Linked DNA regions of Rattus norvegicus. The protein of the gene in region 1 interacts with the protein of each later gene in a pairwise test. Links are inferred from orthologs where the notes say so. Each region holds a gene or a part of one and is shown in the gene's direction. Other genes may lie near its edges. The genes, in order: Tfip11, Ccdc146, Nfu1, Zc2hc1c, Rhno1, Golga1 and Sap30bp.

What was found.
Region 2: the proteins of Tfip11 (region 1) and Ccdc146 interact in binary tests that used the Homo sapiens proteins (3 or more experiments, as listed by UniProt). The two-hybrid records come from large-scale screens. The link is inferred for Rattus norvegicus from reciprocal best matches to the Homo sapiens genes TFIP11 and CCDC146.
Region 3: the proteins of Tfip11 (region 1) and Nfu1 interact in binary tests that used the Homo sapiens proteins (3 or more experiments, as listed by UniProt). The two-hybrid records come from large-scale screens. The link is inferred for Rattus norvegicus from reciprocal best matches to the Homo sapiens genes TFIP11 and NFU1.
Region 4: the proteins of Tfip11 (region 1) and Zc2hc1c interact in binary tests that used the Homo sapiens proteins (3 or more experiments, as listed by UniProt). The link is inferred for Rattus norvegicus from reciprocal best matches to the Homo sapiens genes TFIP11 and ZC2HC1C.
Region 5: the proteins of Tfip11 (region 1) and Rhno1 interact in binary tests that used the Homo sapiens proteins (3 or more experiments, as listed by UniProt). The two-hybrid records come from large-scale screens. The link is inferred for Rattus norvegicus from reciprocal best matches to the Homo sapiens genes TFIP11 and RHNO1.
Region 6: the proteins of Tfip11 (region 1) and Golga1 interact in binary tests that used the Homo sapiens proteins (3 or more experiments, as listed by UniProt). The two-hybrid records come from large-scale screens. The link is inferred for Rattus norvegicus from reciprocal best matches to the Homo sapiens genes TFIP11 and GOLGA1.
Region 7: the proteins of Tfip11 (region 1) and Sap30bp interact in binary tests that used the Homo sapiens proteins (3 or more experiments, as listed by UniProt). The two-hybrid records come from large-scale screens. The link is inferred for Rattus norvegicus from reciprocal best matches to the Homo sapiens genes TFIP11 and SAP30BP.

Annotation. Positions count from the first base shown.
Region 1 is NC_086030.1:49,969,458-49,973,564, reverse strand, and holds the start of Tfip11 (tuftelin-interacting protein 11), read left to right. Parts: upstream 1-1,307; 5' UTR 1,308-1,380; intron 1,381-1,431; exon of another isoform or gene 1,432-1,542; intron 1,543-2,410; 5' UTR 2,411-2,598; intron 2,599-2,884; 5' UTR 2,885-2,893; coding exon 2,894-3,102; intron 3,103-4,107. UniProt on the Homo sapiens protein: Involved in pre-mRNA splicing, specifically in spliceosome disassembly during late-stage splicing events. Intron turnover seems to proceed through reactions in two lariat-intron associated complexes termed Intron Large (IL) and Intron Small (IS).
Region 2 is NC_086022.1:14,670,410-14,673,909, forward strand, and holds part of Ccdc146 (coiled-coil domain-containing protein 146), read left to right. Parts: intron 1-1,782; coding exon 1,783-1,878; intron 1,879-2,683; coding exon 2,684-2,854; intron 2,855-3,500. UniProt on the Homo sapiens protein: Essential for sperm flagellum biogenesis and male fertility.
Region 3 is NC_086022.1:121,019,406-121,022,905, forward strand, and holds part of Nfu1 (NFU1 iron-sulfur cluster scaffold homolog, mitochondrial precursor), read left to right. Parts: intron 1-170; coding exon 171-271; intron 272-2,774; coding exon 2,775-2,910; intron 2,911-3,500. UniProt on the Homo sapiens protein: Iron-sulfur cluster scaffold protein which can assemble [4Fe-4S] clusters and deliver them to target proteins.
Region 4 is NC_086024.1:110,662,471-110,666,481, forward strand, and holds the start of Zc2hc1c (zinc finger C2HC domain-containing protein 1C), read left to right. Parts: upstream 1-1,211; 5' UTR 1,212-1,295; intron 1,296-2,046; 5' UTR 2,047-2,065; coding exon 2,066-3,376; intron 3,377-4,011. Other genes in the region: Acyp1 (acylphosphatase-1), read right to left, coding at 692-857.
Region 5 is NC_086022.1:163,319,641-163,322,386, reverse strand, and holds the end of Rhno1 (RAD9, HUS1, RAD1-interacting nuclear orphan protein 1), read left to right. Parts: intron 1-175; 5' UTR 176-259; coding exon 260-424; intron 425-1,350; coding exon 1,351-1,893; 3' UTR 1,894-2,246; downstream 2,247-2,746. UniProt on the Homo sapiens protein: Involved in microhomology-mediated end-joining (MMEJ) DNA repair by promoting recruitment of polymerase theta (POLQ) to DNA damage sites during mitosis.
Region 6 is NC_086021.1:43,180,820-43,184,319, reverse strand, and holds part of Golga1 (golgin subfamily A member 1), read left to right. Parts: coding exon 1-21; intron 22-2,666; coding exon 2,667-2,726; intron 2,727-3,292; coding exon 3,293-3,463; intron 3,464-3,500. UniProt on the Homo sapiens protein: Involved in vesicular trafficking at the Golgi apparatus level. Involved in endosome-to-Golgi trafficking. Mechanistically, captures transport vesicles arriving from endosomes via the protein TBC1D23.
Region 7 is NC_086028.1:101,692,255-101,695,754, forward strand, and holds part of Sap30bp (SAP30-binding protein), read left to right. Parts: intron 1-266; coding exon 267-318; intron 319-1,085; coding exon 1,086-1,144; intron 1,145-2,415; coding exon 2,416-2,500; intron 2,501-2,760; coding exon 2,761-2,942; 3' UTR 2,943-3,500. UniProt on the Homo sapiens protein: Plays a role in transcriptional repression by promoting histone deacetylase activity, leading to deacetylation of histone H3.

The DNA of each region.
Region 1 (4,107 bases):
TGTATTTGCTTTACAGATTTCAGTCCAAGGCAGACATTTAAAAAAGAACTGAAGCAGAAAGCCACAGGAATACTGCTTCTTGGCTTGTTCCCGCTCTTACAGCACCCAGGACCACTTGAGCAGGGGTGGTGCCACCCACAACGGGCCGGGCCATCCCACACCAATCATTCATCAAGCAAACCACCCCACAGTCTTGCCTGTAGACCATCAGGATGATGGAAGCACTGAGGTTCCTTTTCCCATATAACTCTAGTGTGTATCAAGCTGATGGGGAAAAACAAAAATCCAACCAACAACAAAACCCACCAAGACGCAGCCTTTTAGTGTACTAGAGAAAACGAGCGTGTTTCAGAACCAGAGATGGCATCAGACTATGTGTAGATTTGTAAGATGTGTAGAGTGTAAGATGAACTATGCCCCCGTCCTGTGGGCCAGTGGTGGTGCATGCCTTTAATCCCAGAACTCAGGAGGCAGAGGCGGGCATATCTCCGAGTTCGAGGCCAGCCTGATCTACAGAGTTGAGTTCCAAAACAGCCAGGGACACAAAGAAACCCTGTCTTGAAAAAACCAAAAACCAAAACCAAACCAAACCAAACCAACAAAAAAGCCCAACTCCTTTCTTTCTCAGCACCAGAGAAATAACTACAGCAGCGAGGAAAACTGCTTCCTGGCGAGAACGCCCGGGCACTCCTTCGGAAACTCATTCCTTAAACTGTTCCAGGCCCACACTGGTTTATCCTAACAGAGACAACCCAAGAATCAGGTATTTCAGAACAAAATAGGGCCAGGGATTGACAAAGAAAAAACAAATTTATTACAGGCTGTGCACAGCTGCCTAGAGATAAGTTCTTCGGTTCCTCTGCCTTTCCTGTTTACAGAGTTACAGAAAAGATAAAGCAAAAGCCAGGAAGCACGCTCGCCGATTACAACGCGAGGACCTCCGGCAGCCAAGCTCTTCCTCTGGGGCTGGGCCCTTAGCCTTTCCTTCTCGCGACATGGGGTCCTGAGGACATTTTAATCACTCAGGGTCCCCGTGACGCTGGTTCAGGCACTATGGGCACGGCGGTTCTATCCGGCGGTGGCTTCCTTGGGATAACACCTTCTCCGCCTTTGACAAACCAAGACCCCAGTGCTTGCAGAGGGACCAGACATCCACTCGGCCTCAGTTCCGATGGGAACCGGAAGCAGAGCGAGGCCTTCCAGTACTCAGACACGCCCCCTTAGCGTTAAGTCGCTGCCGGGGCAACAGCGCGCCATTTCCGCCAGCGAGTGACGCACTTCCTGTGCGCCGGCAGGTCACATCCGGGTTTCGGCTAGCGGGTCCCTCGCAGGCTCTGGGAAGGTGGACCGAAGTTGTGTGATTCACGGGTGCTGAGTGAGGTGAGCGGGCGGCGGGGTGGCGGGATGGCCCGGAGGGCGGGCTGATGCTCTATGGCGGCGGTCCCATGCTCTCCCCGCGCCCAGGTCTCCAGCCCGGCCCGCCGCGGGACGGGACCTGGGAGCGTCCTGACGCTGACACTAAATAACCAGCCCCGAACGCGGGTAAGCTGAGTGTCTCCTGACCACTGTGGGATTTTTACTATCCCCTGTGCTGGGGAGGTGGTAATCTCATGAGCCCAGGGCTTCCTGCTCCTTTGAGAACTTTGCGCTCAACTCTTAGCTGAGGTTGAGACCTGTTGTGATGAACCGGTGCATAGTGAGGAGTAGGGAGATGTTTATAACAACGGAGCGCTTTCTCCGCTGTCAATTACTGGTGCATCTGTACACCATGGAGTCACATAGTGAGGACATTGCTGTGCAGTGTCGGGGCCTTTGTATGTGATACCCACACACAGAGGTGTTCATAGAAGCGTGATTTAAACTCAGGCGGTAGTGTTGAGTGTTCCTGATTTTCACAGTCATTTTGAAGGGTTCACTTCTCAGCCCTGACTGGTAATGACGGTGATCCTGAAACCACCTGACCACGGGACGGAAGTAGAAGATGCTTTTTTCTTACTTTTTTTTCTTTCTTTTTTTCTTTTTCTCCCCTCCCCCCACCTTGTTTACTGTTTTTTTTCGAGACAGAATTTCTCTGTGTAACAGCCAGCCCTGTCTGTCCTGGAACTGTCCTGGACTGGCTTTGAACTCAGATCCACCTGTCTCTGCCTCCCTATTCCTAGAATCAAAGATGGTCATCATCCTGCCTGGTGAGGGTGCTGTTTCTTGAGCACCTGCAGGGAGTTCAGCTTTTGTTGTTTTGTCTGTTTTGAGACCAGGTTGGCTTTGAAATTACTGAGATGGACTGCCTTTGTCTTTCTAAAGGATTGTTTTAGTGCTTGCAAGCTACTTCTGGAACTGAATGAATGCAGTTATGAGAGAGAGCTAAGTAGATAACCTGGGTAGAACACTTTGTTTACTCTACACCCTCTAGGCGTGACTGTGAAGTGTCGTCCAGAAAGACCACCTCCTTCCAATCCCTCAGAAGCCATTCAGGTTTGGGAAGGAAACCTTCAGTTTTGTGAGACAGTATTTCAGAAAATGCTCTAAAGTTTCCCTGGAACTGCAAATCAGCTAGGTACAACTTCCCTGGAGAAGGAAAGGACCAACTTGGTTTCTGAGGTAATAGCACATGGAGCTGTTGCTTCCTTTCTGTGGCATGTCTGCCGTCTGTCTGTGGCCCCACCCCATGCATGCACTATGTTTGACTCTGAAAAGGCATTGTTCCTTAGACCCCTGTGATGACCGGGTCTGACTCGTCTCACTTGTTGCAGAGCTGGTCATTTTATCCTGTGTTTAATGGCTGCTTTACTGAGTTGTATTATGAGGCTCATAGCTTTTTGACTCCGGAGGATCTTCTGCTGGCCGTGGGTTCTCACAGTGCTGTTCTTGTCCCCTCTTCTTGTAGTGACTGGCCATGTCTCTGTCCCACTTGTACCGGGATGGGGAAGGCCACCTTGATGATGACGATGACGAGCGTGAGAACTTTGAGATCACTGACTGGGATCTCCAGAATGAGTTCAACCCCAACCGGCAGCGTCATTGGCAGACCAAAGAGGAGGCCACCTATGGAGTGTGGGCTGAGCGTGACTCAGACGAGGAGAGGCCCAGCTTCGGAGGCAAACGGTACTGTGTGCTGGGCTGCATGCCCTTGGTCTGGAGGGTCAGGAGGACACCCTAGAAGAGTTTCCTGCCCTGCTCCTGTCCAGACACTACAGCATCCTGCTCTGTACTGTTGAGCTGGGATGGCAACATCCTCCTTAGCAATTACTGTGTGACGGGAGCAGGATATGGACAGAGACGTGCTGGTCCACCACAGGCATGGCAGCTGTGGGACCATGCTGTGCCAAGGAACACTTGCAGGGCACTAGAGAACAGGGGGGGTCAGGGAAGGTCACTCTGGAGAAGACTGTTGGCCCAAATGAAGGCGTCGTCCACAGGGGACGTGTGGTAGTACGGCCTGGGCTACATAGTAAGATGCTGTCTCTCAAGGCAAGAAAACAGCATGTGCCTCCCAGCTGACCTCACTCAGAATATTTTGTTTAATTTTACTTATGATTTTTTGATTAATTTTAATTAGGATTTTTATCTATCTGGGTTGTTCTGTTTGAGTTTTACACTTGAAAGAGTATCTAAAACAAATGCCGTGTGTGTTTTACATGCACGCTAGATAAGAACTGTACCACTCTAAAGCAAGCAGGGAGCTGAGACAGTCTTTTCGGTTGTGAAAGGGGCCCAGTGTGATGGCTTAGAGGTGGAGATGTCTGCAGGGCAAGCCTGGTTAGCTGCGTTCCATCACCAGGTTCCTACATGAAGGGTGAAAGGGATGAGCCACTCTACAGATTGTTCTTGCACGCAGCAATAGCGCCATTTTTGAAAGTGTCAAAGGGAAGTGAGATCATTGCATCCCAATTTGAACTCATAATCAACTACTGACAGTGGCAAGTCTTCAGCTACAGGTTTGAGTTGAACGGACCACATGAGCGTTAAATGTGGGCTGGAAGAGGACTCAGTAGCAATGAAGATTGAGCACTGCTCCAGCAGACCTGAGTGTGGCTCCCAGCCAGTGCCACGGCTGGCAGCTCACACTGCCCCTGATTCCATCTTCGGGGAATCTGCTTTGGCTCACAG
Region 2 (3,500 bases), on another chromosome or scaffold:
AAGTCACTGCTGGAGGTGAAAGCAGTTTCTGATACCAACACTTGCAACTCAGAACAGCAGCGAAAGTTTAGATAATAAGGTCAAAGTTGATCCCCAGCAGACTGTGGTAGATGAAGTTCCGCTCGCTACCAACCGCTCGTCTTCTCAACCTTTCCCATAAACGCTGGCTATGCAATTCTGAAGAAACTAGAGGGTGAGTTTTATAAGAAATTTAACCAGAATGCAGCAGATGCACGTGGAATGGCCCACGAAGAAGATAAACATACGCGCATATCGTGTTAGAAGAGCGCAAGCCAAAAATTAAGACTGAGTACAATTCATGGTGATGCTGTCCATACTTCACTCAGAATGGTGGAAAGAGTCGAAAAGAATTAGCTAGGAGCTTTTAGTTGATAAACTAAGTAAGCGTTTGTGATTTTCTGTCATTGTTTTCTAAGATTTCCTGGTCCCGGGTAGCACTCAAGGCCATGACCTGTGGCCTGAGGGAGGAGAGCATGGAGAACAGCCCATCCTAGGTCTGTCTGCACAGGTGATGCTAGTTTACCTCCCCTCCCCCACCCCACATCAGACACATGGAGTCTTCCTCACAGGCATCTCGCCTCGCCCGTGAAGTCTTCCTAAGTACTCAAGGCTGCTCGAGTTTCCCCTTTGCTTTGATCTACCCTCATCTGTTCATCGGAAACATGAGAGTTTATAGTGTTATATGAATTTCACAAGACCACGTCTTGCTTCTTGACAGCTGTCTGTCATAGGTGAGGCCCTGAGAATCGGGAAGCACTGGCTTACAGATGGTGAACGGGGCAGCCAAAGATCCTGTTAGGTGACATTTAACCACCAAGCAGGCTCTTTCCCAGTTGTGCATACTGGCTTGGGTACAACCCTAGTGACTCGAAGAATGTTGTCACCAGAGGAAAAGATTCACGTCAGGTCATTTGCTCTTATAATGGGGTCCCAAGTAGGCAAGTAGGCCTTTAGCACCCCAAGATGACCCTTCCACAGCCTTGGATTCTGCCTTTCTTCATTAGCAACTATGGGATTCCTTATCAAATACTTTCCCCCCAAGTGTTTCAGCACAGGACAAAAGTACACACTAATACGGCAAGAAGCATAATGGCAAAACTGTAGCTTTTGGAAGCAACAAAGGAATTAAACTTTTTCTTTGAAGAATTTTACATGCACTTATCTAAGTGCCACATTTAAGTAGTGAGCTATACTCCCTGGTAACCAAGAACTGCGTTTATTTGGCCTGTAAGGTTGCATAAGTGAATGCAGACTGGGTATATAATACCCTCACACGAACAGTCCAACACACGCAGGTCCCTCGGTTCCTGAACCATGAATTCAAGAGGCAGCAGGGTGTGCTAGGGAGATCACAGGCTCTCTGGCTGACGGCCTGGGTTTGCACCTGCACCAGTGAGGAAGGAAGCTTGCCTTTCTCTTCTTCCAAACCCCTGGATGCCTCATGCCATTTGTGAGGGATGGATCCAAGCCCTCAGAGCCCTGCAACATACTTAGGCAATGGTCAGTGAGCGTTAGATATTAAGATTTATTTAGAAAGGAAAAACCATCTGTAGCTAATCAATCATGTATTTCTGGTAGATCTTCATACTTTTACTTTGCACTGACTTTATAACCTATTCTGGTTATTCCCTATTCTCAAAATTCCTGTAAGATCGGGAATCATGATTTGCCCGCCATTTTAAAAATGTATGAAATGGGGTTGGTCCCTAAGCACCAGACGTCGTTTTCATAATAGCCTCCTTTTTAAATGTTGATTTCCAGATGGAAGCTATCCCCAAAGAAGACCTTTTATTGCCTGAGCAAAGGAAGGAGCTCCACAAAGAGGTTGACCTGGCTAAGAGAAATCTGGCTCAGCAGGTTAATATCAGTCACATGTTTATCTCAGAATGGAGAATAAAATGGTGTCTCAAAAGTGCTCCCTAAAACCACGTCAGAAAGAGAATGCTAAGGGACAGGAAGTGGCAGGGAGGGCGGGAGAAACTGGGGAGGCAGAAAGTATCAAATGATGATTGACGTACGTGTATACGGGAATGCCACAGTGGAACCCATTCATATTTATAATGATATAAACAGATAATACAATATGCATTAATATTTAGAGTAAAAGTATGATGTTACAGCCCTGCTTCCAATGGCCGATTTTTCCACTGGGGAGGTTTACTGAGGGTTGAGTGCAATGTCCAAGCCCGCTAGCCAAGTGTCGTATATCCGTGAGTATACACACACCACCCTCACCTTCAAGCTCATTCCCACACTGTTTTGTTCGTTTGTTTGTTTCTGAGAAGAAGGGAGGATGTGTTTGAAAGGACAAAACTTTCCCGGGCTATGTTTCTAAAAAAAAAAAAAAAAAAAAAAAAGGCTGTTGGTTGCATAAAAGTCAACCTTGTTTCCCCAATGTCTGATTTTAAATTCCAAACTTTTGTCAGCCAAACTACTGTGGAAGTGTTTTAAAACATATTTTTAAACTCCTCCTAGTCATTTAAAAACACAGTAAGGAACAGGGTTGATGGCACTACCCCACTAGTTTCCACCCTTCATAAAACAAAGGGAAACAAACTTGGGGCTTGGCCTCTTAATAAACTCAAAAGGAAGAGGCTGGGCTCCGTGCAGACCTTTCTGGGCTCCCTCAGAAAGCGAATTCTCACCCTGTGCTTTTCAAAAGAGATCTCTGTCAGAAGCCGAGGCCAAGTTAGTCGAGCAGCAGATTGCGGAGGAAAACAAGCTTTTAAAGGAGCAAGAAACTATGCGTGAGGTGCTGTTCAACCTCGGGCGAATGACTCAGATCAAAATGGAAGAGAAAGAACAAAAGGCTAAGGACTTCCTGAAATCCCAGGTAACCGCCCTGTTATGGCTGCCCGCTAATTACTGCGCAGGCGCAAGCGAGCCTCCCCTTAACGGATTATTCATTATAAGGTGGTAATTCCACATCACATTCTTTCAAAGTCAGTGACAACAGAGGACACTCAGTCATACCCTGGAAAACTAAGCCAAACCAGGGGAAAAAAAAACAAAAAAACAAAACAAAACAAAACAAACAAACAAAACCCTCAGTATCCAGTTATCCAAAGTAGGTCTAAAGGCTAAAGAGAAGCAGCAGCACAGTAATCAGAGATCCGAAAGATGGCAACTTCAGTAAGAATGAAGTGAGTGTCCCTGGTGGCCATGAGCCACAGAGAGAATCTGCAAGTCACAGAGCCGCAGATTCCAAGGTGGCAACTTAGGATCGGAGCATTGGACGAGTAATCAGACAGCATCCCATGGACCAGTGCCCGATGCTCTTAGCTGCGGCTTCATCCCAGGATCACCCCAGACTCCTGCAAAGGGCCACAGGCAGCAATCATAAAGCAAGCATACGTGTACATGCGCGTGCACGCGTGCGCGCGCGCACATACACACACACACACACACACACACACACACACACACACACACACACACACAGCAGAAGCTAACATTTTAAAACTAGACTCAGGGGGCTG
Region 3 (3,500 bases), on another chromosome or scaffold:
ATCATACTGCTTGCTGGGTGTGGCGCTCATGTCTGTGATTCCAGTACTAGGGAAGCAGAGGCAAGAGTGTCACATGTCCATGAGGCCATCTGGGTTATAGAGTGAGACTCATTTCAAAACAACAAAACAGATCAGATTCCTTACTATGTCACTCTTTGTTTCAAATGTAGGCTCTGTCATGTGGCGACTCCACACGCCTTTAAGAAACAGCCTCTGCACCAATATGTACAGAGACCACTCTTCCCTCTGCGCACGCCCTTGTATAACACAGGTACAGTGCTAGAGCTGATGGTCATAAAATACAAAATGTTAACGTTTTCCTTTAAAACTGTGTGTGTGTGTGTGTGTGTCTGTGTGTGTTGTACTGCATGTGTGGAGGTCAGAGGACAGGTTGCTTAAGCTGGATCTCTCCTTCTACCATGTGGGTTCTGGGATTGAGCTCAGGCCTCTGCCTTGGTAGCAAGCACTCTTACCCCCTGAGTCATCTCAACAGCCCAAGAATTTGTCAATTTTCAATTCAGAAGCTTAGAAAAAGGATCCAGTGATTTCCTGTCCATCCCCACCCCCTCCCTGTGGTAAAACCATACTTTACTATTATTAGTCAGAGGACATTATCTGTAGACTTGTGAAATCTCCATGTCTTGTAAACACATTTTCTAGACCATGAGTTGCTCAATAAATAATGTCTAAAATGAAATATTATAAGAAAGAAGTTACAAGTGGATTTTTGTTTGAGAGAATCATGTGTCTTTTAAAGTATTGCTTTCTCTGTTTCTATAGGAATTGTCTGTACAGCAGTGAATTCCTGCCTTTAATCAAACCTTCTAGCATCTGATTTTGAATGTAATTTGAATGTGGTCATTGCAGCATTGGGGGAGCTTGGAGAGGTGTGGGTGCGCTTGGCTTGATGTGGTCATGGATTAACCTTTTCCTCCTGCTGCCTCGTGCACCTTCCTGTGGCCATGTTGTAGGGTGAGATAGAGGGTGGTAGGGGCATGACTAAATCTGGAAGAAATCTTATCTCTTCTGCAGACTGGAGGTGGGAAATGTTTCCTGGAATCACAAAATGCCTTGGATGTAAATACTGAACTCAGTAGGTCAGCCCACTTTAACTGGTTAACTTTTGTGGAACTGCAGTTTGTGGTGTTCTAGTCTTTTCCAGTTGGATACCCACTGATTTCAGTCTTTGACAGTGACTTTCAGTTTTTGTTGTGTTGTGCAGGAGCCGGTGTTTGTCTACTAAGGGACCAGTATTGTATCACTCCCAAAGGGAAAACACTTCACTCTCTCCTACCCTGCCCTAATGCAGGACACTTTCTGGCTGGATGTTAGAGCTAGGAGGTGATTGATTTTTGTCTTTTGAGATTGTACTTTAATAACAATGTTTCTCCTTTCCCTTTCTTCTCTATAAACCCTCCTTTACCTCTCCCCACTCTCCTTCAAATTCATGGCCCCATTTTCAGGAGTTGTTATAGTTCGAGTATGTGTATTCACGTATAAATTCCTAAATATAACCTGTTAAGTTCATACAATGTGACTTGTATGTGTGTGGAGTCGTTTAATTAGGTATTTTTAAAATACCTAATTAAACTGGATTTAGAATATAGTTGGAATGATGTGGCGAAATATCTCTTCAGATTAGTCTTTGAGGCAGCTTACTGATGTTGAGAGAGAAAAGCATGTGGTGATCCAGTATTTTCCTTAATTTTTCTCCCCCAGTGTAATAGATGGTGTGGGCTGTTTGGTTTGGTTTCTGTTTTGTTTTGTGGGTTTTTAAGAGGCTCTTACTAACTGCCCTAGGCTGGCCTGCAGCCTGCTGCACACTGCTGAGCCTGGCATGAACTCAGGCTCCTCCTCTAAGCCTCAGCCTCGCAGGCCCTGGGCTACTGTGTCTGCCGGATTCTAGCTTTCAAACGAGATTTCGTTCTGACCTCTTTGGTTTTACATTTATACTTATACCCTCTGGTACTTCTTTAAACCCCTTTTTCTGTGGACCTGGATTTCTCAGTGTATTGAGTAGGGTAAAGCCAGATTTAGTCCTTCAGATTCAGCGAGATGCCCAGTGAGCACAGTGATCTTAGTTACAGGAAATTAAGACAACAAAATACAAAGCCATGCTTGGTAGCACACTGTCAATCCCAACACTCTGTAGGCAGATCCCTATGAGTATGAGGCCAGCCTGGTCTACGTAGTAAGTTCCAGGCTAGCCAAGACTAGATAGGAGACCTTGTCTCAGATAGACAGACAGACAGACAGACCAACCTACAGAAAATGACTGGTTCTGAATAGAAAGTAGTGACAGTCTTCCCTTTAAGCTTTTTTTTTTCTGTTCTCCGTAGAGCAGACTTGCCTTGGTTGGAGGCACAGGCGTCCTAATAGAATGCAAGCGTTTAACCGCTCAGGATGTCTGGTCAGCCTGGGAGAAAAAGCCTGTGAGGTCACTTTTCCCAGTGTTTCTTACTTCTGTTTCTCTAAAAATCGGGCACTTCTGGGAACTAGAGAGGCTTCTCGGTAGAGAGAGCGCTTGCTCCTCTTGCAGAAGGGCTAGGCGTGACTCGAAGCATCCTTGTGGTAGCCTGCAGCCACCATGACTGCGTTCTAGAGGCTCCGATGGCTTCCTCAATGCCGCTGGCACATGGTACACATGCACGGATGTAGGCAAGACATTCAGACATATAAAACAAAAAATAAAAGTAAATCTTTTTGAAAAAAGCACTTCGTTGACCATAACTTAAACCTTTTTTTTCTAGCATAACACTCTTTCTCTTTTTCAGTACGATTCATGTTTATTCAAACACAAGACACCCCAAATCCCAACAGCTTAAAGTTTATACCAGGAAAGCCGGTTCTTGAGACGAGGACCATGGATTTCCCCACACCAGCTGCGGCTTTCCGTTCCCCTCTGGCCAGGTACTGTGTCTGCTGTGTCTGCTGGCTTCCACCAGAGAGCGCTGCAGCCCTCTGTGCCTGATGCAGCCTTGCAGAGCTGGTGCATTTGTGTGATTTCAGAAGAATTGAGTTGAAGTTACAAGCTTCCTCCTCAGGAGTGTATTTGACAGTTCTGTAGTATGAATACTTAAATTTTTATTATATATATATATTATTATATTTTAACTTAAGAAACTTCACCAAATGGGCAGTTATGATAAACTTCTGATCCAAACCTTTAAAACTCTAAATGGTAAAAAATTGTACATGTATGTATGTGTGCACAGCGTGAGTTTGTGTGAATGTGTGAATATATGCACAGTGTGAGTTTGTGTGAATGTGTATGTGCACAGTGTGAGTGTGATTGTATATGTGCACAGTGTGAGTTTGTGTGAATGTGTGAGTGTGCAGTATGAGTTCGTGTGAGTGTGTGCACACACAGAGGCCAGGCCTGACCTTGAGAATCTTTTATCACTCTCTGTCTTATTTAGACAAGTCTACTAGGGATCTGAACACGGGTCCTCACGCTTGTGTGCCATGTACTTTATCCACTGAGACATTTTCTCCAGCAC
Region 4 (4,011 bases), on another chromosome or scaffold:
TGCATGAGGAAGTTATGCATACTTTAAAACTAGAGATTCTGAGGGCAAGTGCTAAAACTAGTTTAAAAGGGAAACCATAGAAAGCTGACCAAGGCAGGGGTCGGGGGGGCTGAGATTCGCCAGTCCTAGTCGGGGGAACCGTCTGCAATGCAGAGAAGGCCGAAGAGCCAACAGAGAGTGAAAAGAATGACTGACAATCTGCCCTAGAGAGCCCACCTAGGAGTTTCTTCGTAGCACATAAAAGCTGACATCTGATATGTTGTATTAATCAGACTGCTGTCTACTTTATTTCCCACGTGCACGAATCTTCTGAGTAGTAACAAGAAAAACTGAGCTATCTGTTCCAAACAGCTTATCCAAATGAACTGAAGCACGAAGAAGACAAATAAACTCTCTTCTGATGTCAAAAAGTTGCAGAGGATCGTTTAATGTTGAAATCAAGTTATCTTCATTACTGTTGATCTGGTTGTTAACTTTATTATTGTTACATTTGGCTGAGTCATTCCTGGGCCCTAAGTAGTAACGGTCACGTGAGAGTAAAACATTATAATAGCAGAATGATTAGATTGGCCGTAGAAACTATCCTGGGACTATAACACGTAGCGAAATAAAAATAAAGCTAATAGCAGGCGCCAAAGCATTGCGAGGGAAGACAGCCCGGGAGCATGTAGCCTGGAGCTTGTAACCCTACCTGGGGCCTGAGCGCAGTAGCGCAGCGTGCTCAGAAGGGTGATCAGCAGTCCCACTCCCGCTAGCCCGACAGACCCCCGAATCCTGGGGCGGGATGAGTCCAGAGCCCATCTGAGGGCTCCACCCTTCTCCAGACAAGGGCACACCCTAAGGTCTGGGAGCATCATTCTCGGAGAAATCCAAACTCTTCTTTGATGTAGCCCCAGAAAAACCTCTCCAACCCCTTCCCAAGGGCAACGCTGATCTGAGCTGTGGAGTTGGCTGCAACCGGTGTCAAGTGACCCGACTGCACCCCTACTCCACCTCCCTTCCCTCTTTCCCTCCCCCTCCCTCCCCATCCTCCTATTCCCCACCACCACTACCACCACCACTTCCCACCACCCAGACCGGTCCCGGGCGGCTTTCCGACAGCTTGTGGACTGCGCCTGCGCACAACTGGAGCTCAAAGTTCTCAACCAGAGGCGGCGCTCTGGTCTCTAGGCAACGGGATAACAGAGGTAGACAGAGAGCGCCTGCGTGGACGGCGGTTGGGTTTAGTCAGGTGTGGAAGACTAGGTCTTGGGGATTTTCCTTGAGCTGGAGCGTCTCCCCTCCGAGCGCCTAAGGTATGCCGAAAGGGGAGACACCGAGACCTCCCGAGGGGTTGGAGATGAGAGTTTATCCTTAGGGGCCGGGTTCCAGTAAGGGCTCCCATTTGACCTTCTGGGACAGAACATGACTTCGGAGTTCCGGATTTAAAGCGGGCTGGGGCCCTCAGGTGTCTGTCACCCCTCCCCCAACACACACTCTTTACAAGCTAAGACCGGTTTGAGCCACAGAGCATCTTTGAATGAGGGTTTGACAATCAGGCACCTGCTTCAGGTCGGGCAACCCCGTACTCTTTGTAGTTTGCAGCAGGGAGCCTTTTGGGCCAGGCCCTGTCCCCAGGCCACTGCTCTCACCCTGTAAAACTGTGGGACTGGACTCAGAGCAGCCTCTGCAGTTTACAAGAACCCGGGGCTGGTAAGAACAGGTTGCCTGTTTTGTGTCACAGACGACCTTCGAACTAGAGCTTTTCCCACCCATTCCATAAATGGCGTATGGCAGGTCATATACCGGCCTGGAGAAAAGTCAGTGGCAGAACACCTGTGCCACGTTTATGCTTTGGACCTCGGGGCTTAGCAATGTCTGGTCTAACACATAATCATCACTCCCTAAATGCTTATTGAAAGAACATCCTGGCGGATCCAACACCACAGTCTCTAGAAACGTTTAAAGGGAACGTGGGTAGGGCAAACGTACAAACAGTTTACCCTAGCAGCCGGGAGTGAACCTCAGACAAATTCTTCACATGTATCTGGTTTAAATCTCCCCTAGGCTTCGGTCCAGGCACTGAATGGCTGGTCTCCAGTTGGCTCCACATCTGCCTGTGGGCGTTATGTTCCCACATAATAAAACAGAAGCTCATGGGCTCCACTCCGCTAAGCACGACCCTTACGAACAAAGTGACTCTCCCCAGCGGTCCTCGATGGGACACTTGAGGACTAGTTTCCAGCAGAAGCTTTGGAGCAACACAGAGCTGGAACAAGAGGATGTCATCTCCACCCACCCCAAAAGGAACATCTGCACGAAAGCCCGGAGGCACTCCTGTCCCCACAGTGCAGGAATCAGCCAGCAAGGCTCAGGAAACAATGCCCAGGGCCAAGGAAAGGGTTTGTTTTACTTGTCTAGCCCGACACCCCGGTATCCCAAAGCAAATGACCAGGACTTCATTCCATTTAGGAAGAAACGAGTTGGCGTGGATCGGGCATACCCACTGAAACCCATGGTCCACCGGAAGTCACATAGTACAAGTGAAACAGGCATTGACGGGGACCAGAATGGCTACCCAAGGCTCCCTGACTCGAGCGAGTTTTCGGACAGCAGCTTTGGGTTAAGGAGCTGGGTGAATCCCTCTCTCCTTGCTTCCCCGCAGGCAGAGAAGGTCATGGCACAGCTCCATAGGACAGAGTGGACACAGATCCAAAGGCTAGAAGCTGCAGGCGAGAGTTTACAGAAGGAAATCCGAAGAAAGGAGATTCTCCTACGAGAAAAGCTAAAGAAGACAGAGGAGGGTCTTCGAAGGATTCAGAGGGAAAAGAAACAGGCCATTTTCCAGGAAGACAGGGAGCTACAAAGGATGGTATTACCTAGGAGGCGGGTTAGAGATGGTGACCTCGACACCACACACAACTCCTGCTTATCCCCAGAGTTGAGGTCCGAGGTGTTCAGTAGAAACAGGGGAGAGGATCAAACGTGTGAACAGGCTCAGGAAAACTCTAGTCCACTCCAGCTCTCTGATTATGAAATCCAGAGGCTCAAAAGGGAAAGGCTGATGGTAAGTAACAATAAAATCCGAGACAGAGACTCAGGACCGTCAGCAGGCACGTTCTCTCAACCTGCAGAGGATCTGGGCGATGAACTGCAGGCATCGAGTTTGTCCGGAACACCAGGGTCCTCAGGGTCCAGCTCCTCCACAGAAGAGCAAGAGTTGGGCAAATGCAGCCACTGTGGACGCTCGTTTCTTTCCCTCAGGCTGCAGAGACACTCCACCGTTTGTGGCAAGATGCAGGGTTCCAAAAGAAAAGTGTTTGACTCCTCCAGGGCCCGGGCGAAGGGCACAGAACTAGAGCAGTACTTGAACTGGAGGGGGCCAGCCACAGACAAGGTAATAAAAGCCTCCTAGATTTGACTTTGTGTGGGGGTGCGCAGCAGGGCCTGCTATGCCCTCACCAGTTTTCTTGTGGGAACTGGGGTCCTGTAAGACGAAGGGGAGAATCAGGATTTCTGTTTGCCATCTCTCTAGTCAGAGCTTTCCACTGGAGCCTCACAATTCTGTGTGAGGGTAAGAATCTTATTGTGTCTGTGGGAATGTCATTATATCCACTCAAAAATTAAGGCCTAGGCTTCCCCTAAACTGACACATGTACACACACACACACACACACACACACACACACACACATATGCAGGCACACACCACACGCGCACAACCCCAGGCATACAAGCTCGAACAGTTTAAATAGATTTTTATCTTTTAGCGACATCCTCAGAGACCTGTAGGTGTGGATCTACATGGATTGCTAATCAGTGGCCCTTGCTCTTGAGTTTCTATCTTACACCCTTGTTTTTTACACTCCAGATTTTATTCCCCTCCCTGTCCACCCTCCGACTGTTCCACACCCCATACCTCCTCCCCGAACCCCCCCCCCATCTTAACACCTTTGTGCGGTACGGCCTATAGATAAATCTTACTTGAATTGACTCCAAAATCTAGACTTCAAAATATATGACCTTTTGATT
Region 5 (2,746 bases), on another chromosome or scaffold:
TTTTGTTGAGTATGGATAAGATCGTATGTTTCTCGTGGTTTGGTATAGGAAGCTGGTTTACCTACAACCTGAGGTCTGATTGGTGGTTTCTGATAGATTGGTTACCCTGACGTCATGAAGAATTGGGGGAGGGGTGCCACCCACATGATCCCCCCCCTTTGTTTCCTCTCTCCAGGCATGGTTTGCAACTGGACTCTGACCCAGACCAGGAAGGCAGCCTGCATCATGTTGTTACTAACTGTTCTTCATTTACCCATTGATGCCTCCCCGAAAGAGACGCAGACAGTGCCAGAAAGCCCAGCTGCTATTCCACCAACAGCCACTGGAGGGCCCCAAACCCCATTATGAATCTCACCAGCAGCCCATTACCCACACTGTACAGGTGCCCAGCAAACCCATTGATCAGAGCACCATCACTTCCTGGGTGAGTCCTCGCAATTCTTTGACCTTTGCTGTGTTACGTTTTTCAGAATCCTGACTCTTAATCCTTTTGGAGCAGGGACAGGGAAGCAGTTGCTCTTTCTGGCTGCAGTTACCTGATTTGTCTGGTATATCCTCTTTTCATTCACACTAAAATATGTTTTATATGGAATTGGAGTCTTCCTGCCAGGTTCCTCTGAAAAGTTCTGATTGAACACTTCACTCCCCAGTCACTGGGTGAAGAAGCTAAAAAAAAAATGACCAACTTATAAAAGATTACTTCCTGTATTTCATATGAAAAGTACTAGGTACTCTACAGTTGACTGAACTTTAGTGGAGAAACCTCCTACAAAGGTGGCGTGCTAATTCACGCAAGTTCATCGTTGGGGAGGCTGAGGCAGAAGGATCTCAAGGCAAAGGCCAGCCCGGACTTTACAGTGAGACTGTCTGACAAAAGAAATTCATACGCACTGACTGAATGAACATGCAGATTAGATCCCACACCTCAGCAGTCTCACTTACACGGAGCTGCCGGTCGTATTTGCTGAAGACCTTCCTGCCAGGCCCTCGCCAGGTGTTGGAGACAGTCCCTTTGTCCCTACCCTCTTGAGGGCGTGGTTTTGCTGAGGACTGAACTGAGTGTGCAGAGCATGTGTTCTGCTCCCGAGGACAGAGTTAAACAAGCTTGAGCAGTGGAGTGTGGTGGCCATGAGAGATGCCTGTCTCCTCTCCTGCTCAGGAGCAACTGGAAGAGCAGGGCGATTGGACAGCTGGCCCAGGTCCCTTGTCTTCCTGTTGTATCACATAGCTGGGTTTTTATTGTAGTGAGTCCTCACGATTCTGGACAAAAAATAAAGGGTTGTACATATTTACTATAGTTTCTTTGTAGTCGGCCCACCACCACCACCATCTTTCTTTTTTCATGCACAGGTGTTACCTCAGTTTGATACAGCAGCAGAAAGCCGGTTTCCAACACACCGGAAACATCACCGAGACCAAGCAAGACACCCAACTCGGAGATCTACCTGCAAGTTTCCACGTCTAACCTTTGAGAGTCCAGAGTCTTCGAGTTCAGAGACATTGTTGCTATCCAACAGAGAGCAGCTCCAGAACTCAGAAAAGGATGCTCCCAGAAGGCCTTTAGTGCCATTGTTCAGTCCCCAGAGCTGTGGGGAGCTGTCAGTGCACGTACCTCAAAGCTTACCTCATGTGTTCATGCCCCCCGATATCCAGACCCCAGGGTCTTCGGTAAGAGAAGATCCCATTTCCCCAGACCAGAAGGAAAACAGTCTTCCTAGCTGCATCCTTGGTCCTAGGACCCCCAGGACCCCGGAGCCGGGGCCTGTTCTGGTCAAGGACACCCCTGAGGAGAAGTATGGGATTAAGGTCACGTGGAGACGCAGAAGGCACCTGTTTGCCTACCTTAAGGAGAGAGGGAAGCTGGATAAAAGCCAGTTCCTTGTGAAGACCTGACTGGACTACACAGACTTCGGTTCACCCCAGAGCTGCTGCGGGGAGGTTTCCCAAGTCACTTCTGGTTTGAGAGGATGCAATGGAATGAACATTACTAGGAAGACGACTTAGCCAGAGGCCTAGAGTTGGAATTCGGTTTCTAGATTTCCTTTTTAAGCCACCTTGCCTCAGAAACAGTTGAATTTAGTATCATGAACTGTTGGTATTTTTCTCATATTAACTTCTAAACCTCTGAAGTATCTTGTACTGTTTACAGTGCTTGTAAATAAATGGCTGTCCTGAGTTTTTAGAGAACCCCACCTTTGTCAGCAATGTGGCAGCACGCCCATCTATAAAAGGTCTATCTATGCTCACTGGTCTTCTGACTTGAACTAATTCGTTCCACACTTTTGGTTCCGCTTGACACTCAGCTGTCACTTGGCTGTCGGAGAAAATCAAGAGCGAGCTCTGGTTTTTTTTTTTTTTTTTTTTTTTTTAAAGATTTATTTTATTTATTATATATATAAGTACACTGTAGCTGTCTTCGGATACACCAGAAGAGGGCATCGGATCTCCTTACAGATGGTTGTGAGCCACCATGTGGTTGCTGGGAATTGAACTCATGACCTCTGGAAGAGCAGTCGGGTGCTCTTAACTGCTGAGCCATCTCTCCAGCCCGAGCTCTGGTTTTTAATGGTCAACAGCTACCTTGACAGCCTTGGCTCCTCTGCTCAAAGGCCCTCAGCCAGGCCTGTGTTGGTGAATACAGTGGGGTCAGAGAGGTAGGGAACAGATGAGTAGTTTAGGTTTGTGTTTTGAGATTCTGTCTAGAGTGGAAGAAATCACAGATGCTGGAGAAATGAATTCCTATTAA
Region 6 (3,500 bases), on another chromosome or scaffold:
CAACTTACAGAGAAAAATAAGGTGAGGACACCACACCTGCCTAGCTGTGATGGGTCTGCTCTAACCTGGCCCTCCCCCTAGTCTGCCATCTTTCCACTATTTTTCTCATGGCTTCCCCCCAACACTCCCAACCCCATGGCTGTGCTGTCTTGGAACTCTTTGTAGACCAGGCTGGCCTCAGACTCAGATCTGAGTGCTGGGACTTTTGGCCTCACTCCTCAGACCTCCTCCGCTTACATCTCTCTGATGTGTAGTGGCCCATACCTGCAATCCTGCACACTGGAGACAGATACAGAAAGGCCAGGAAATAAGAACAGCCTGGGTTATATGAAGCTTGCTCTCCTTTTTGTTTCAATTTTATGTATGTGAGTACACTGTAGCTGTCTTCAGACACACCAGAAGAGGGCATCAGATCCCACTACAGAAGGTTGTGAGCCACCATGTGGTTGCTGGGAATTGAACTCAGGACCTCTGGAAGAGCAGTCAGTGCTCTTGAATGCTGAGCCATCTCTCCAGCCTATGAAGCTTTCTTTAAAGACAGGTTTCACGTGGGTTTTTTGTTGTTGTTGGTGGTGGTAGGTTTTTTTTGTTTTGTTTTTTGTGAGACAAGACCTCACTGTGTAGCCCTGTCTGGCCTAGAACTTACAGAAATCTGCCTGTTCACATCTTTCCAGTGCTGGGATTAAAGGTGCATGCTATATCAACCTTGAGTCCTGCTTTCAAGAGTGGCCAATGGGGAAATTCAGTCATGGTAGTATGTGCCTTTAATCTCAGCACTCTGGAGGCAGGGGCAAGTGGATTCATCTGAGTTCAAGGCCAGCCAGGGCTCTGTAATGAGACCTTGTCTCAAAAAAAGAAAGGAGGGGGTTGAGGAGGTGTCAGGGACTGAAATGGGGCTCAACAATAGAACACTTGACTAGCATGCATGGTAAGGCCCTGAGCTCCATCCCAACGTTACAAAATAAAACAAAATAAAAATGGGGTGTTGGGGATTTAGCAAGCGCAAGGCCCTGGGTTCGGTCCCCAGCTCCGGAAAAAAAAGAAAAGAAAAAAAAAAAAAAATGGAAACCCGGGGGCTGGAGAGGTGGCTCAGTGGTTAAGAGCACTGACTGCTCTTCCGAGGTCCTGAGTTCAAATCCCAGCAACCACATGGTGGCTCACAACCATCTGTAATGGGATCTGATGCCCTCTTCTGGTGTGTTTGAAAACAGCAACAGTGTACTTATATATAACAAATAAATAAACTTAAAAAAAAAAAGGGAAACCCAGTAAAGCGTGAGCATTCCCTAGAGTTACTAACCCATTACAAATTACCACTAGGAAGCCAGACATGGTTATACATGATTGTAGTGCCAGTACTTATGAGATAGACACAGGAAAATAGGAGTTCAAAGTCATCTTCTTCGGGTTTATAGCAAGTTTGAGGCCAGTCTGGTATCTATGAGACTCTGCCTCCACCACCCCATCCCCTCCTTTCATGTACACACACACACACACACACACACACACACACACACACACACACACACACACGAAACCACTGGGGAAATAGAAACAGTGAAAATGGTGCATGAAAAAAAAAGCTGGGCATTCTGATGTACAGCTCTAATCCAGCACTTGAGAGGCTGAGACAAGAGAACTACTGTGAATTCCAAGCCAGCCTAAGCTGTAGGAAGATCCTGTCTCAGAACACAAAAAGGAAGCAAGTTTTCACTCTTCAGTATAAGAATCAGAGCATAAACTAGAAAGTCAAAGAAAACTCTTTTTTTTTTTTTTTGGTTCTTTTTTTTTCGGAGCTGGGGACCGAACCCAGGGCCTTGCGCTTCCTAGGCAAGCGCTCTACCACTGAGCTTAAGACTTTCCCAAGGTACTGGAGAGACAGCTAAAAGGTTAAAAGCACTAGCTGTCCTTGCAGCTTGGGTCCAGTTCCCAGCACCTCCAGGGCAGCTCACAACTCTCCTGTGCTGTGAGCTCATAAAATCTGCAATTCCTGTTCCAGGGGACCCCACACCCTCATACAACATGCAAGCAAAACACTACTGCACATGAAAAGTACGTGTGTATATGGTGTGTGTGTGTGTGTGTGTGTGTGTGTGTGTGTGTGTGTGTGTGTGTGTGTGTGTGTGTAAAACTAGTATTGATGGATTTTACTTTTACACTATCTGAATTACACTGCAAATTACCAGTGCAGTGGTGATAGGTGTGAAAAACAAAATTAAAAAAAAAAAAAAGGAATCTGAGAGGCTGGAGAGATGGCCCAGAGGTTAAGAGCACACTTATCCAGAGAACCTGGCTTCAGTTCCCAGCATTCACATGGTAGCTCCAGTCCCATTGGTTCTGACACACCCTCAAGCATAAACATCCATAAATATAAAATTAATTTTTTTTAAAAAAATGGAATATATTCTGCAGAGCCACTCAAAGCAGCACTCTTGAAGTATATGGGCACACCAATAAGCCTGAGGACCCACCCAAGGTTGGGTGGGTGTTGAGAGAACTATTGAAAGAACAATAATACTGTGGCCTCTCTGGGGCCTAGGAAAGCAAGGGGTAAAACAGCAAGAAATGAAGGCAGCTGAAAGGGTAAGGGGGATGAGCCTTCAGGAGGGCCTCTGAAAACCTTCTAACCTGACACTGACAACTGGCTTTGGGATGGGTTACCTCAGATTATGAAGCAAATGCAGCAGAGGATGCTGGAACTTAAGAAGACTCTGCAGAAAGAGCTGGTGAGTGCCCTCCACATACAGCCCTACATCACACCCCCAGACCCCTCTACCCTCCCTTGACTCTGGTCCACCCCGGGGTCCTTGGCTGCCTGGTATGCTCTCTTGCTTGATTGCAGAGATCAGGTATGGACTAGTGGAAGTGCCTTAGATCTTGAGAAGTGTTCTTGTGACCATGTGTCCTTGGGCAAAGGTCTGAGTCTGCCTTCTCCATACCTGCCTGTGTTCTCAAAGAGATAGAAAAACATGACCTAGTTCACTCCTCTCAGCCACTCACCCCAAGAGGAGGAGCAGAGCCTTCCTTAGGTTCAGGCACTTGACCTCTAGTCAAGGGCCCTTTTACCCAGTGATGTAAGTTAGTCAAGGAGCGGAGTTGGGGATTTAGCTCAGTGGTAGAGTGTTTGCCTAGCAAGCGCAAGGCCCTGGGTTCGGTCCCCAGCTCTGAAAAAAAAGAATTAAAAAAAAAAAAAAAGGAGCAATAGATGATCACAGCTGGGACTGGAGACTCCCTGTGATCCTAGACCTAGCTTGAGGGGTGTGACATAGCACATTCTCCCATTGCTTTTCAGAAAATCAAACCTGACAATGAGCTTTTTGAGGTCCGGGAGAAGACAGGCCCTGAGATACCAAATATGGCCCCTTCTGTCACTAATAATACTGACCTAACTGAAGCCCGAGAGATCAACTTTGAATACCTTAAACATGTTGTTTTAAAATTCATGTCCTGTCGAGAATCTGAGGTAAAGGCTTCCAAGCTGCTTTTTGGGGATGGGGAGG
Region 7 (3,500 bases), on another chromosome or scaffold:
GGAGTGGCTTGGCTGGTAGTCTGGCAGATGCCAGTGACAGGCTTGGTCTCTGGGTCCCAACCAGTTAGAAGCCAGGACCGGGCCTGTGCCACTGCTACCAGCTGAGCGGACGCTCCTACTCTGCTCTTAGGAGCTTCCTGGCTTTGTGGCTGGTGATCAGGGAGCCGGCTGAAGCCCTGTGCCTTCATGAGGGCTGGGGCCCTAGCCTAGGCAGCTCCTGTGCACTGTGGTGTCGCTCTGACTACAGTTTAACCTCCTCTTTGCAGGATATGTTTGATCCCCACGGCTGGTCTGAAGACTCCTACTATGAGGCATTGGGTAACCTCTGTAGCTTTCTGTTTATCTACTCATCCACACACCCATCGGTCTGTCCATCCAGTCAGTGACTTAGGTGACCCATATCTCAGGCAGGGTCTCTGTGCCGGGCCATGTCTACAGGGCTTCTGTGGACAAGACTGACGGTGTCCCTTGCTGGCAAGACTTGGACACAGTACAGGCAGATGGGATAGTAATTCCCACACTGATGGCACTGAATTAATGTGAGCAGAGCCAGAAACCTTTGGCAAGCAGAGCGCCTGACCTGGCCAAAAGATTGGGAAGGCCCTGTTGAGGAGACCGTTAGAGCAAGGTTTGGAGAGGTGCAGGGGCCAGAATGCCCGGGGCAGAGGAGGTGTGTGTTCTAAGGCCAGGGAACACAGCACAGAGCTGGGAGTAATTTCACAGCCTGAGCCTTGAACCTGTGAGTCCCCGTCACAAGCCCAGAGCTTGTAAACCAGGTCCTGGCTCATTAGTGTGTGTATATGTGGCCCTTACAAGTTTTGCCTTATTTTAAGTTAGTTCCCAATATTTTTATTTACAATATAATTCTGTATCTAGCGTTCCTTAGTCAGTAGGGTGGTCGTTCACTGTGAATGAAGCTCAGGAGCAGCCCCCAGACCCTTGGACCAGGCCCATGGTCCACGCTGACCAGGGCCTAACACTTCACCTGCTCCAGTGCTGAGCCCATGCAGCCCTTTAGGCCAGTATGAGGAATGCAAGGTCAAGGCAGTGACCTCCTCGGTCACACACTGCTCATGTCTCCACAGCCAAGGCCCAGAAGATTGAAATGGACAAATTGGAAAAGGCCAAAAAGGAGAGAACGAAAGTAAGTAATGACTGACCCTGGGGCGGAGGTGCTGTGAGGTGTGCAGGTCCTGCTGCTGAGTGGAAGAGTCCGGCTTCCCAGGCTCCCTGCCACCCCTACCCTTCATGTCTAGTGAGGCCTTGAGCATCCTTGGCCTTGGCCTCTGTGATGAGCAGACGGCTGTCTATGGAAACCACTGCTCAGCTGTGGCAGGCTCGGCGTCCCCGGCATTGTGCCCTTCCTTAGCCCACTGCAGAGCCCTGGGGGCTTTGCCTCTTATGGCTCAATGGTGCTCCAGCCTGATGTGAAGTAGCTGTTCCTTCATGAGAGTGAGGCTAAGGCCTACTCTGCGTTGTGCATTTCTTGGCCTGCAGAGCTGACCTCCACAGCCAGCTTGTGTGGGTTCCTATGGATCTCATGTCTGAGAGCCACATAAGCCATCAATTTGGACACCACGCACCACTTCTGTAGCAGTGTCATCAGAGAGGGTCTGCCAGGAGCTTCACGATCCCCAGATTGTCAGCTGGACATGAGAATACACCTTCTCCTACTCTGGTTAGGGCTGAATTCCTCACAGCAGCTGTGACCCACAAGAGCCTCCCTTACCTCCAGGCTGAGGGCTGCAAGGCCTGGGGGTGTAACTGGCCCTTTCTGAGGCTTTGTGGCCAAGAATGTGGGAGTGGTGTGAGGGGGAGGAACTAGGTTTCTTGTCCTTTTTTAAAATGTGCATATGTATTTTATGTATATGTGTGTATGCCTGTGTGACAGAAGAGGGCATGGATGGTTGTGAGCCACCATGTGGGTGCTGGGAACCAAACTCGGGTTCTCTGGATGGAACCACTGAGCCATCTCTCCAGCCCCAAGTTTCTTGTTCTTAACCATTGAATGAATCTCCCCCTTCTTTCTCTTCCTCTCCCCCTAAACCCTAGGCTTAACACAGGTCTGGGGACCACAGCTGTCCTTCTGTGCAGAAGATAGCACTTCCTCCTGGATGTGAGGAGGAGAGGCCTGGCAGCTGGTTTAAGGGGACAGTGGGTTGGGTGCCGGTCGGTCATGTGTGGTAACTTGTGATGCTGGGAGGGACCCCACATCTGCTGGGAAAGTGTTTGGAAGAGTGACAAAAGCCCCTCAGGCACCTCCCACTCTCCCAAGTGCTCCCAGCCAAGATGGTTTTCAGGGCCTCTTTTGTTTAATGCCGAACTCTTGTGCCCTGGGAGCAGACAGATGGACGGACAGCACAGGAAATGGACACATGTCTCTGCAATGGTCTTATTGTCCTCTCTCCTCTCCAGATTGAGTTTGTAACAGGCACCAAGAAAGGCACCACAACCAATGCCACGGCCACCACCACCAGCACTGCCAGCACAGCTGTCGCAGGTACAGGCTGCTCATCCCGTCCCTGCACCACCTCAGGGCCTCCAGATAGAGCGGGAGGTTCATGGGTTTGTTAGAGAGGGACTGTGCCAGGCTTGGCCTTGTGTGCTCTGCCAAGTATGAGCATAGCAAGGCTCCCAGATTATTGACTTCCCTCTGGGTTCCTGGACCCAACCTGCCTCTGGCCTGCCGGGAAAGGGGCCCTGCCCTTGGGGTCCTATTGGTTGGTGCTGATCTTGACCCCTCTCTTGTATCACCTCTAGATGCCCAGAAGAGGAAGAGCAAATGGGACTCGGCCATCCCCGTGACGACAATAGCGCAGCCCACCATCCTCACCACCACAGCCACCCTGCCAGCAGTGGTCACTGTCACCACCAGTGCCAGCGGCTCCAAGACCACTGTCATTTCTGCCGTGGGTACCATCGTGAAGAAGGCCAAGCAGTGACCAGAGGACACCCCAGGACTTGGCAGGACTGTGCAACCCAGTAACTTCCACCCACTGGGAGGTGCCTTTGTTTGGGACTGATACGCACTCCCCACATGCCTTCCAAGAGGAGCCTCGGCATTCCAGCCGGAAGGACGTCACAGCAGAGGCAGTGTGTGCATTGGACAGGGTCTGTGCGCACACCTCTTGGGTCTCACCCAATTAAAAGTACTGCTTCTTGGGTCCTGGCATGTCAGGTGCACTGGCCTCTCCCACGCTGCAAACCTGAAGCTCTAGTGCCCTTCGTAACAGTCAGGATTGTGGCTCAGGATGAACAATGGCCGACAAGCCACGGGAGTACTCAGAGGGGTAGCCCAGGGAGCTGCCATGGTCATTCCCAGTGTATGCCCAGGGCGTGGGCAGGTGGGAGCTCAAGGAGGGGCCACACACATAACCTTTCCTGTTGTCTATTTTCCTATTCTCCTGATCCAGAAACCAGTTCTGAACAATTCTCCGGCAATAACAGAGGCCGCTGCTCTCTTGGGTGCAGTTAAACACTCCCCACACTGCTTATGATAC